Linked DNA regions of Arabidopsis thaliana. The protein of the gene in region 2 interacts with the protein of the main gene of each other region in a pairwise test. Each region holds a gene or a part of one and is shown on either strand. Other genes may lie near its edges. The genes, in order: MKK4 and RACK1C_AT.

Evidence for each region.
Region 1: the proteins of RACK1C_AT (region 2) and MKK4 come close enough for resonance energy transfer, tested with the Arabidopsis thaliana proteins (one study listed by BioGRID).

What each region holds. Positions count from the first base shown.
Region 1 is NC_003070.9:19,152,320-19,157,062, reverse strand, and holds MKK4 (mitogen-activated protein kinase kinase 4), read right to left. Parts: upstream 2,741-4,743; 5' UTR 2,489-2,740; coding exon 1,388-2,488; 3' UTR 725-1,387; downstream 1-724. Other genes in the region: AT1G51650 (ATP synthase epsilon chain), read right to left, coding at 3,422-3,450, 4,200-4,383.
Region 2 is NC_003074.8:6,210,283-6,214,457, forward strand, and holds RACK1C_AT (receptor for activated C kinase 1C), read right to left. Parts: upstream 2,270-4,175; 5' UTR 2,090-2,269; coding exon 1,211-2,089; intron 929-1,210; coding exon 827-928; 3' UTR 596-826; downstream 1-595. Other genes in the region: AT3G18120 (F-box associated ubiquitination effector family protein), read right to left, coding at 1-290; LST8-1 (Transducin/WD40 repeat-like superfamily protein), read right to left, coding at 2,461-2,567, 2,648-2,707, 2,787-2,866, 2,947-3,029, 3,129-3,245, 3,316-3,393, 3,568-3,637, 3,792-3,904 and 1 more. UniProt on the Arabidopsis thaliana protein: Minor component of the RACK1 regulatory proteins that play a role in multiple signal transduction pathways. Involved in multiple hormone responses and developmental processes.

The DNA.
Region 1 (4,743 bases), on a different chromosome or scaffold from region 2:
AAAGTGAAGCGATTTTTCACGAAAGAAAGGAAAAGCAAGAGGGACCTTTGCTTCCTAATAGGATCGAAGTTATAGCAAAAAGAAACATTTTTATCAATGACAAAAAAACAGATCGATGAGTATGTGGCTAAATCGAAGCAATGTGACCAAACTAAATGAAGTTTAAACGCTAACAACCTAACCAAAAGCTCCTCATTGTTCACTAATCACACTGAAATAGTAAAAAGATGACATTTTTATCAATGACAAAAAACAGAGGAAGGAGTTTGTGGTTAAATCGAGCCAGTGTGATGCTTCTTTACCAAAGAATGACAAAAATAAAGAAGGATCAAACGCTAAAACGTAACTACTCACTAATCACACTGAAAAAGGAAATGCACAAGCAAGCAAAATCCGTAACAAAAAAAAAAAACCCTAAAACGTAACTAAAAGCTCCTACAAAGGCAAATGCATAAGCAAAAATTGTGACAAACCAAAGCAAGCTACAAAAATCTCAACAACTTAGAAAAAAACTCTAAAGAGTAACACTGATTGCACTTACAAAGAAAAACTCACAAGCAGAGGAAGCAACCAAAGGAACCTAAAGGATTTAGTATTTATAGACAAGAGTATGGGTGACTCGAAAAACCCTAGAGATAGGACAGATGTCACCATCCTCTGTCATCAAATCGTATCAATGGCTGCGAGAATCGCTACTTTCTCCGTACAAGCTTTCAATTCATCACCACTGCTCTGTGTTTTTGTTTCTTGTCGTTTTCCAACTTTGGAGATGACCGTTTGACCGTTGTTGTGCCTTAGACGACGTCTTTTCAACATTGGGCTTTATCTTTAGCTGGCCCAAGTTCCTCTTTTCTTCAATTAGACCCACTTTGCTAAACACAGTCGTTTTGCTCTCTCGGATTGAGGAATTGTCTTAAACTCTTCCAAGGATGTTCTAAACTGGGACATCAACCTGATTAGGTTTGAGAAACGATTCTACGATCCGTATATTTTGCTTTTTCATGATGGTAATAAGCTTTACAAGGAGACATTTTATCAATGACAAAACTAAACACCGAGAATGGAAACGAAACGGTCCTTTTCGTCTTCAAGATGCAAAATTGACGAGCATAAATGACAAAAGAAAAACCAAGGCAAAAACTTTTATGAAAATTCAACAAAGCTACATTGGGGATACATGCACCATCATAAGCATAAGAATATTATCATTGTTCTCTTTTACCTTTCTAGAAAACAATAATCCCAAAAACCCTCTCTCGAGTTTTTTACTCCCTAATAAATGTAAAATTCAGAGACCCTCCATGATTAGCAAAAAATTGGACAACAGACTCAAGAACAGTAGTAACACAAAAAATATGAGTTGATGAAGGGAAGAAGAGAGAAAACGCTATGTGGTTGGAGAAGAAGACGAGGACAGAGGACGAGGAGGAGGCAAGAGTTGATGTAGATTCTGAGGAGACCTGTTCTGGCTCGGACTTGCTCTTAATATGAAAGGATGCTGCAATAGCTGCATAGCACTCCTCCTTTTCCCCGGTTCTCTCTGCAAGCAACACGAGATAAAATGCCGAAACTCCGGCGACGCAGTCGCTGGAGCTTCTGGAGGCTGAGACATACAAATGGCACACATAAGACTAGCCCAATCACCTTGTCTACTCACAGGGAAAGGAAACCTCCCCAAGTAAAACTCCAAAATGCTAACACCTAAGCTCCAAATATCTCCAGCATAACCATCATACTTTCCCTGATTCAAATCAGTGTTAATCCTCTCAGGACTCATATAAGCAATGGTTCCAACAGATGAATTACACGGATCCATAGTCTGAGCCAAGATCCTACTAACTCCAAAATCAGCAATCTTAACGTTTTTAGCAGAGTTTATCAAAAGATTCGATGGTTTGATATCACGATGAACTATGTGACGGCTATGGAGATAAGCTAAACCACTAAGAATCTGACGAGATAGATCAGCTAATTGTTGCTCTTTCCACACATGAGCACCTTCTAAAGAACCTTTATCCATAAACTCAAGCAAAACCTGGATCTCACCGTTCTGATCAAACATCTCGTGACATTTCACAACGTTTGGATGATTCACATCTCGTAAAATCTCGATCTCTCTACAGATCTGACGTCTCACAGTCTCCTCGTGGTTACCGTATATCACCTTAAGTGCATATAGACGAGAACTCGGACGGTGAATCACTTTGTATACCGTTCCACCTGCTCCGCTTCCGATACGGTTACCTCTCACTAAATCCGAATAGTTCTTCGCTTCTATGGAGCTGTTAGTGTTCGTTGAAGACGCCGAACCACCAGAAGACGGCGCAGATCCACTAGAGCCACCGGAACCACCGGAAGTAGGTGGGAGAGGAAGAGGTACAGCGAGAGAAACATCGCGTTGAGGAAGCGGTAAGGTAAGATCAGGACGGCGACGGGGACGGCTTTTCACCGGAACGGAAACTCCTGGAGGCGATTGAATCGGTCTCATCGCTTTTGGAATCAAAAGTTCGATTTTCTTCTACGATCTGAAAATTTAAAAGCTCGATTGAAGATTGAAGTAATGATCTTCGTCGTTTATAGTAGTAGTCTTCTTCGACTTCTTCGTCGTCGTGCGTTGTCGTATTCTAGGGTTTGTTTGTGGCAGGCTTAAATTGATTCGTTCTTCGAAGCGATCAAAATCAAAAGAAATTGAGAAATGAAGTTTCGTCGAAAGAAATTGAAAGGACACTGAAAAGGGAACGTTAATTTTTATTTTGAGAAAATTAATTAAAAGGAAATAAATAGCAAAATTGTTAAAATCGAGAAAAAGGTATCTACGCGATGTGTAAAGCGCGTGAGGATCACTTTCAAGCACGGAAACCATTTGTGACTTTGTGTGGTTGGTTCACTGGGCACTTCTGGCTCTGTTAAGTTTTTTTCAGACTTTACGCGGTGTCGTTTTGTTGGTTTTGTGATATAAACCAAGAAGAGGAAATCGAATTTAAATCAAACAAACGCGTAAAAGTGACATTGGAGATGGTCTAACCTGCAAATATGCGTACTGCGATTCAAAATACATGATTCAGAAAATCAGTTTGTATATTCTCATGTTTAATATTAAGTATGGTCTTCTCTCAACTTCTGACAGTGTATTGATTCTCCACGTATGTGCTTAGTTTTATGCTATTCTCACTGTTCTGTAACAATCAAAAGAACTTGTCTTTAGCCAGAAGAGTCTTTAAAGGCTTTTTTTCATTGTTCGCATACAAAAAGTGAAACAGAATAGCAAAAGAAGAAAAGAGATACACAAGACTCAGTGTGTCATTATTATGATCGGAAATGAGTTTTTCACTCAAGCTCCATTGTTGACAATAAAAAGAAAACAAATCTTGGTAACTCAGTTACTTTTGAATCCCTTAAGAACATAAGCTCAAAGTTGACTTCAAACTTCAGGTGTGTCTGACCGCAAAACTGTCAAGGAAAAACAAAAACATGAGAGAATGTTAGACAAATGGATCAACAAGAAGAAAGCTGAACCATTTTCAGATAGACTAAATCTGGAATCATTGTCTCAGTAAACCCTATTTGAGAAATGAAATCATTCCAAATTCAACAATTTGAACATAACAACAACTTATGAGAAAACAAAATAGAATGAAATTAATCAAATCCAGAAGCAGAAGAGAGACAGATTAAGCGCAAAATCGATGGAGCTTGTTAAAATGATTCATCTTCCTCTTAAATTCAATAGCTTTCCCAAAATGACCTACTCTGATATCTACGTATTCCAACAATTTCAATGACACACAACAAGAACATGAAGAATTCAGATCCAAACATAAACGAGAAAAGACATCTAAATGCAATGTTCCCAATCAGCTTTCCATCTTCTTCATGTTCTTGTTTCACACATACTACTAGTTTTGTTGTTTTCTCTGAAGCTAACTCTAAATGAAAAATTCAACAATTTGGACATAACAACATTGTATGAAGATAGTATTGAACTGATCAAATCCAGAAGCAGAGGAAAGGTTAAATGCAAAATCGAAGATCAAATCCAGAAGCAGATGATTCACTTTCCACTTAATTCCGATAACTTTTAGGAAATCAGATTATTCCAACAAATTACTCAAAAACAAATCAGGAATCGAGAACACAAGAACGTGAAGAATCCAGATCTAAGATCCAACATCGACGATTAAAGGATCGAAAAGGCTTACCAGGTTTCTGGGGCTTTCCATCAGCCCATTTGGAGAGAGAGAAGTGAACCTTCTCGCGAGTAAGAGCTTCAGCTTTGTGTGGCTCCTTGAGACAGTTCCTCACGATATTCGCACAGATGTTTGAATACGATATATATGTCATCCCCGCCGCTCTCCAGAACGGAACCGCCGCATTCGATGCCATCTCCGATCTTCTTCCTTGTCTTCCTTCTTCGTCCGTTCCGATTCTAAGGAGAAAGTTCGCGAAATGGGACAGAGACCGATTCTGTGCCCTAGTAATCCTAACACAGTTTAGACCCAATGGGCCTTATTAAATATTTTAACGGCCCATTAAGTAGCTAACTACACGAATCTTCTATCCAACTTTCATCTACTGAAATCTCTCAACTTTTTTTTTTTTTTTGGTTTCTTGTCTTTTTTATTTGTTTTTATGATTGTTTCTTGGAGTTTACGCGAAGACTGAGCCAAACCAAGCTTTGCTATTTTAATACCTTGATTAGGCAATTAGAAATTTAAGCGAAGTTACATAAAAATAGGAAAACAA
Region 2 (4,175 bases):
GTTTCGGGCTCAATCTTAGTCGTAATCCATATCTCCATCTGTAATGTATCATCTCTCTCAAATAACACTGTAAGTTGCTCATCTCTAACACTAGATAGAGTCACAGTATCTTCATTAAAAGAGTGAAACGGTAGACTTAGAGGGGGTCCAAATATCTCTCTTGTAAAATCATAACAGAGTAAGAACTCAGGGAGATGCTTTTGTTGAGTATTTCCCTTGAGAGACACGCCACGTGCAGAAAACTGTATCTCCCAGTTCGCAGAGTTAATGTTAGGGATAGTAATATTCATCCGTGGTTTAGAGGAGTTGAGGACTTGAGGTAGTAGAGTTCATACTGTACGTATCCGTAACAAGGTTCACTAAATCCCTTGGAAGATTGGCCATCATCATCTCAAGGATCATAAATAAGTTAGGTTAATGCTTCAGAAGATACTCTCCTCTGCTTCCGGTGGTTACAAATTTGAAGACAAAGAAACCCACCCTAACTGAATTGGGCCAATCATGGGCTTTAGAAATCTAATAGGCTTGTAATGTGGCCGGTGAAAGAGATAAGAGTGATATATTATAGGGATGAATTGTGAAGATTGAACCTCAATAAGACCAATCGGAAGATCACGAAGGTAAGTGTAATCAAAATCGTGACCTTTTGATATATAGTGATATGATAATCAATGGATTGTTTTTTTCTCTTCTGGAAATTAAACAAAAATTGCCAAAATAGAGGTTTGCGAGAGACTAATACAATACTGACGCAGTCTGGAAAAATTAAAAGCAGCTAAACTTTTTTCCGGAGATTTCGTGACTTCTTCTTCATCTTGTTGTGTCTCTAGTAACGACCAATACCCCAGACCCTGACAACTCCATCAGTGTAACCACTGAACAATGTGCTTCCATCTGCACTCCAGTTCAAGCTTGTGCAGTAGATAACCTGCATTTTCATTACACATTCCCATTAGATACCATTATCAATCTCTTCCTATATGTTAACATCAAAGTCAAAACCTTTGGAGCAGAGCAACATTTAAAGAATAAAATTCCTAGTTTCAAAGCTAATGGGTAAGGGAAAAGATTTCCTACATGCAATTTCTAACCAAAATTTCACTTTTTTTTTGTCATAACCAAAGATAATTTCATCACTACTTTTGGTGCATTCACTAACCTATCAATAGAGAACCAATTACTATAGTGAAATCATAAGATAATGACGTACCTTCTTCTGGTTACCAGTTCCAACACCACCTTCATTCTTCTCTGCCTCAGACTTGAGATCAACCTTCAAGTCCTCAACAACAGACTTGCTCTCAAGATCCCAAATCCTAATGCTATTCTCAGTAGCAGCACACAACCAGTATCTGTTAGGACTGAAGCAAAGCGAGTGAATAATCGAACCCGCCTCAAGCGAGTAAAGCTTCTTTCCTTCAGCCAAATCCCACAACAAGATAACACCATCTTTCCCACCACTGGCGCATAGCGAACCATCAGGCGAGACAGCAACAGTGTTGAGGTAACCAGAGTGACCAACAAGAGAGTTCCTCAGCTTACAGTTCTGGAGATTCCAAACTTTCACAGTTTTATCCCAAGAAGCAGATACAATAGTTGGTACAAGAGTATTAGGACTAAACCTAACACAACTAACCCATTCCTTGTGACCATCACCTTCAGAGATGGTATACTTACACTCACCAAGTGTGTTCCAAAGCTTAATCGTACGATCACGAGAAGCAGACACGATCTGCCGGTTATCAGTAGAGAATGCAACAGAGAGCACATCTTTCGTATGACCAACGAATCGACGAGTTGTTTCTCCCGTGGCAAGATCCCAGAGACGGAGCTCACCGTCCCAGCTTCCGGAGAGTGCAAACTGACCGTCCGATGAGAGAACAACATCTTCCACGAAGTGAGAGTGACCTGTGAGCCTACGCTGAGCAACACCGTAAGACTTATCGTCCTTTGTGAGTTTCCAGAGGATGATGGATTTGTCACGCGACGCTGTGACGATGATGTCGGAATTGTCGATCGGCGTAGCGATGGCCGTGACAATGTCGGTGTGGGCGCGCATAATGCCCTTCAATACGAGTCCCTCGGCCATGGTTTGAGGTTTTCGGGTTTCTTCTTCTTACTCACGAAAATGGCGTAACAGAGCGAGAGATTACGAGGTCGATTGAAATGTTTGGTATTTATACTCTAGGTCTAAAAATGAATCAAATTAGGGTTTAGTGTGGTTTCTGCGAGGAGACTGGCTCATTTGGGCCGGAGTTTCCGAGTCAGGTATAAATGGGCCTCTTCTGAAATAAATTTTGTTGGAGCATTTTTGTTGTGATATAGTTGAGAAATGTTTGATCAGAGAGGGAACATAAGAGCAATTTGAACGAATTCGATTGAAATGTACAAGAGTTTACTAAAACACAAATAACACAATCGTAGTTTGTTCATAATTTAGCTTTGATTCTTATTAAGGTTTTAATCGTGAAGTGCACAGCACACAGTGGCTTTGTGATGACCTTGGTACACTTTCACTTCTTTGCCTGCTGGCATCGACCACAATCTAGCCGTCATGTCCGATGATGCTGTACAACATCATAGAAACCCGTTTAAAGATTGTTCTGATATGTTTTTCAGTGGTTTAAGTTAAGACAGAGATTAGTACCTGTTACAAGAAATTCTCCATCCACTGAGAAGACGCAGTCCCAAACCCATCTTTGATGTCCTGTTATATAAGATTTGATGATAGTGTAAGAGACGATAATGGAGAATGAATGCTGTTGACAGTAACATGGAGAACATACCTGTTAAAACTTTCTCTAGTTTAAAACCATCGACGTTCCATATTTTGACAGTTTTATCAGATGATGCAGTCGCTAGATATCTGCTAACAAATATGTAAGAGCTTCGAAAAGGAGAGGATGAAGAAAACGGTTAAAAGAGAAAGTATAAGAAACATGTTACTTGTTTGCAGGAGAGAGGAGACATTTAAGGATGTGGCCATTATGAGCTTGCAGCTTATGAAGGGGCTCAAACTCTGTCATTGTCTGTAAAAGATTTTGAATTTTTAAATGGCATGGACAATTAGAGTAATGCGACTACAACATGGTTAAACAAAAGAAAGGTTTGCATATCAGGAACACTACCTGTTTTCCACGCAACAAGCGCCATACATAACATGTTCCACGGTTGTTAGCAGCGACTACCATTGTCCCATCCCACATAACAGTTAAAGACCGTACAGCTGTATCAACTTCTGGTACCTATAGTTAACCTCAAGTGATTATCTACGGATTTTCAGAAATGAAATGAAGACGTGTCAAAGGCAATTACCAGTTCACAGCTACACGAATTTGCTCTGAGATCCCATACACGTATATTTCCATTTTGGTCTCCAGATATCAATTCAGTCTGTACAAAAAAAAAAAACAAAGTTCATAATAAAGACTAAGGAAATAGTTCATAATAACAGCTGAGACAACTACCAAAATCACAGCAGTTTCAACAGTAGCAATACAACAACTCTCTTAAACATAAAACGAAGCTGATTCCCACAGCACAACAATAACAGATGACTTCATGTACCTGATTTGGGTGTAAAACAACTGTATTAACCGCTGCAACACTTTCATACTCCTTTTGGCAACCCGGAGCCCTGCATTTTGGTTTACGAGTCAACAAGAATACAATTTAGAACGTTCTTAGTATTTTTCGTAACTTTATATTCAATATCTCCTTATCCTTTCCCAGAATCCACACTTGAATAAATCTATAAACTTTTAGCTAAAGATGAAGATGACATGATATACCTTAAGTCCCAGATCTTAACTGTGCCATCTTCTGATCCTGAATACATCCATTTTGCATCACATTGAAATCCTACTGCCATAACATTGTTGGTGTGTGAATCGTAAGTCATCACCTAATACACACGACGACTCCATCAAGATCACTCAAGCAGGTAGAAGGAAGCAAACACCACATTGAGAAAAAAAGAGAGGAGTTTTACAGGTTGAGGACTATTGGAATTGACATCAAAGAGTCGAATATGAGGATTGCAAGCTGCAGCTAGATAATGCTTATCTGGGGTTATCTCAAGCCTATTTACATGCTGCAATTACAAACATTAATTTGTCTCAGTTTTATTAATTACTCAGAATTCACAAAATCAAGGGAGAGAGAGAGAGAAACAA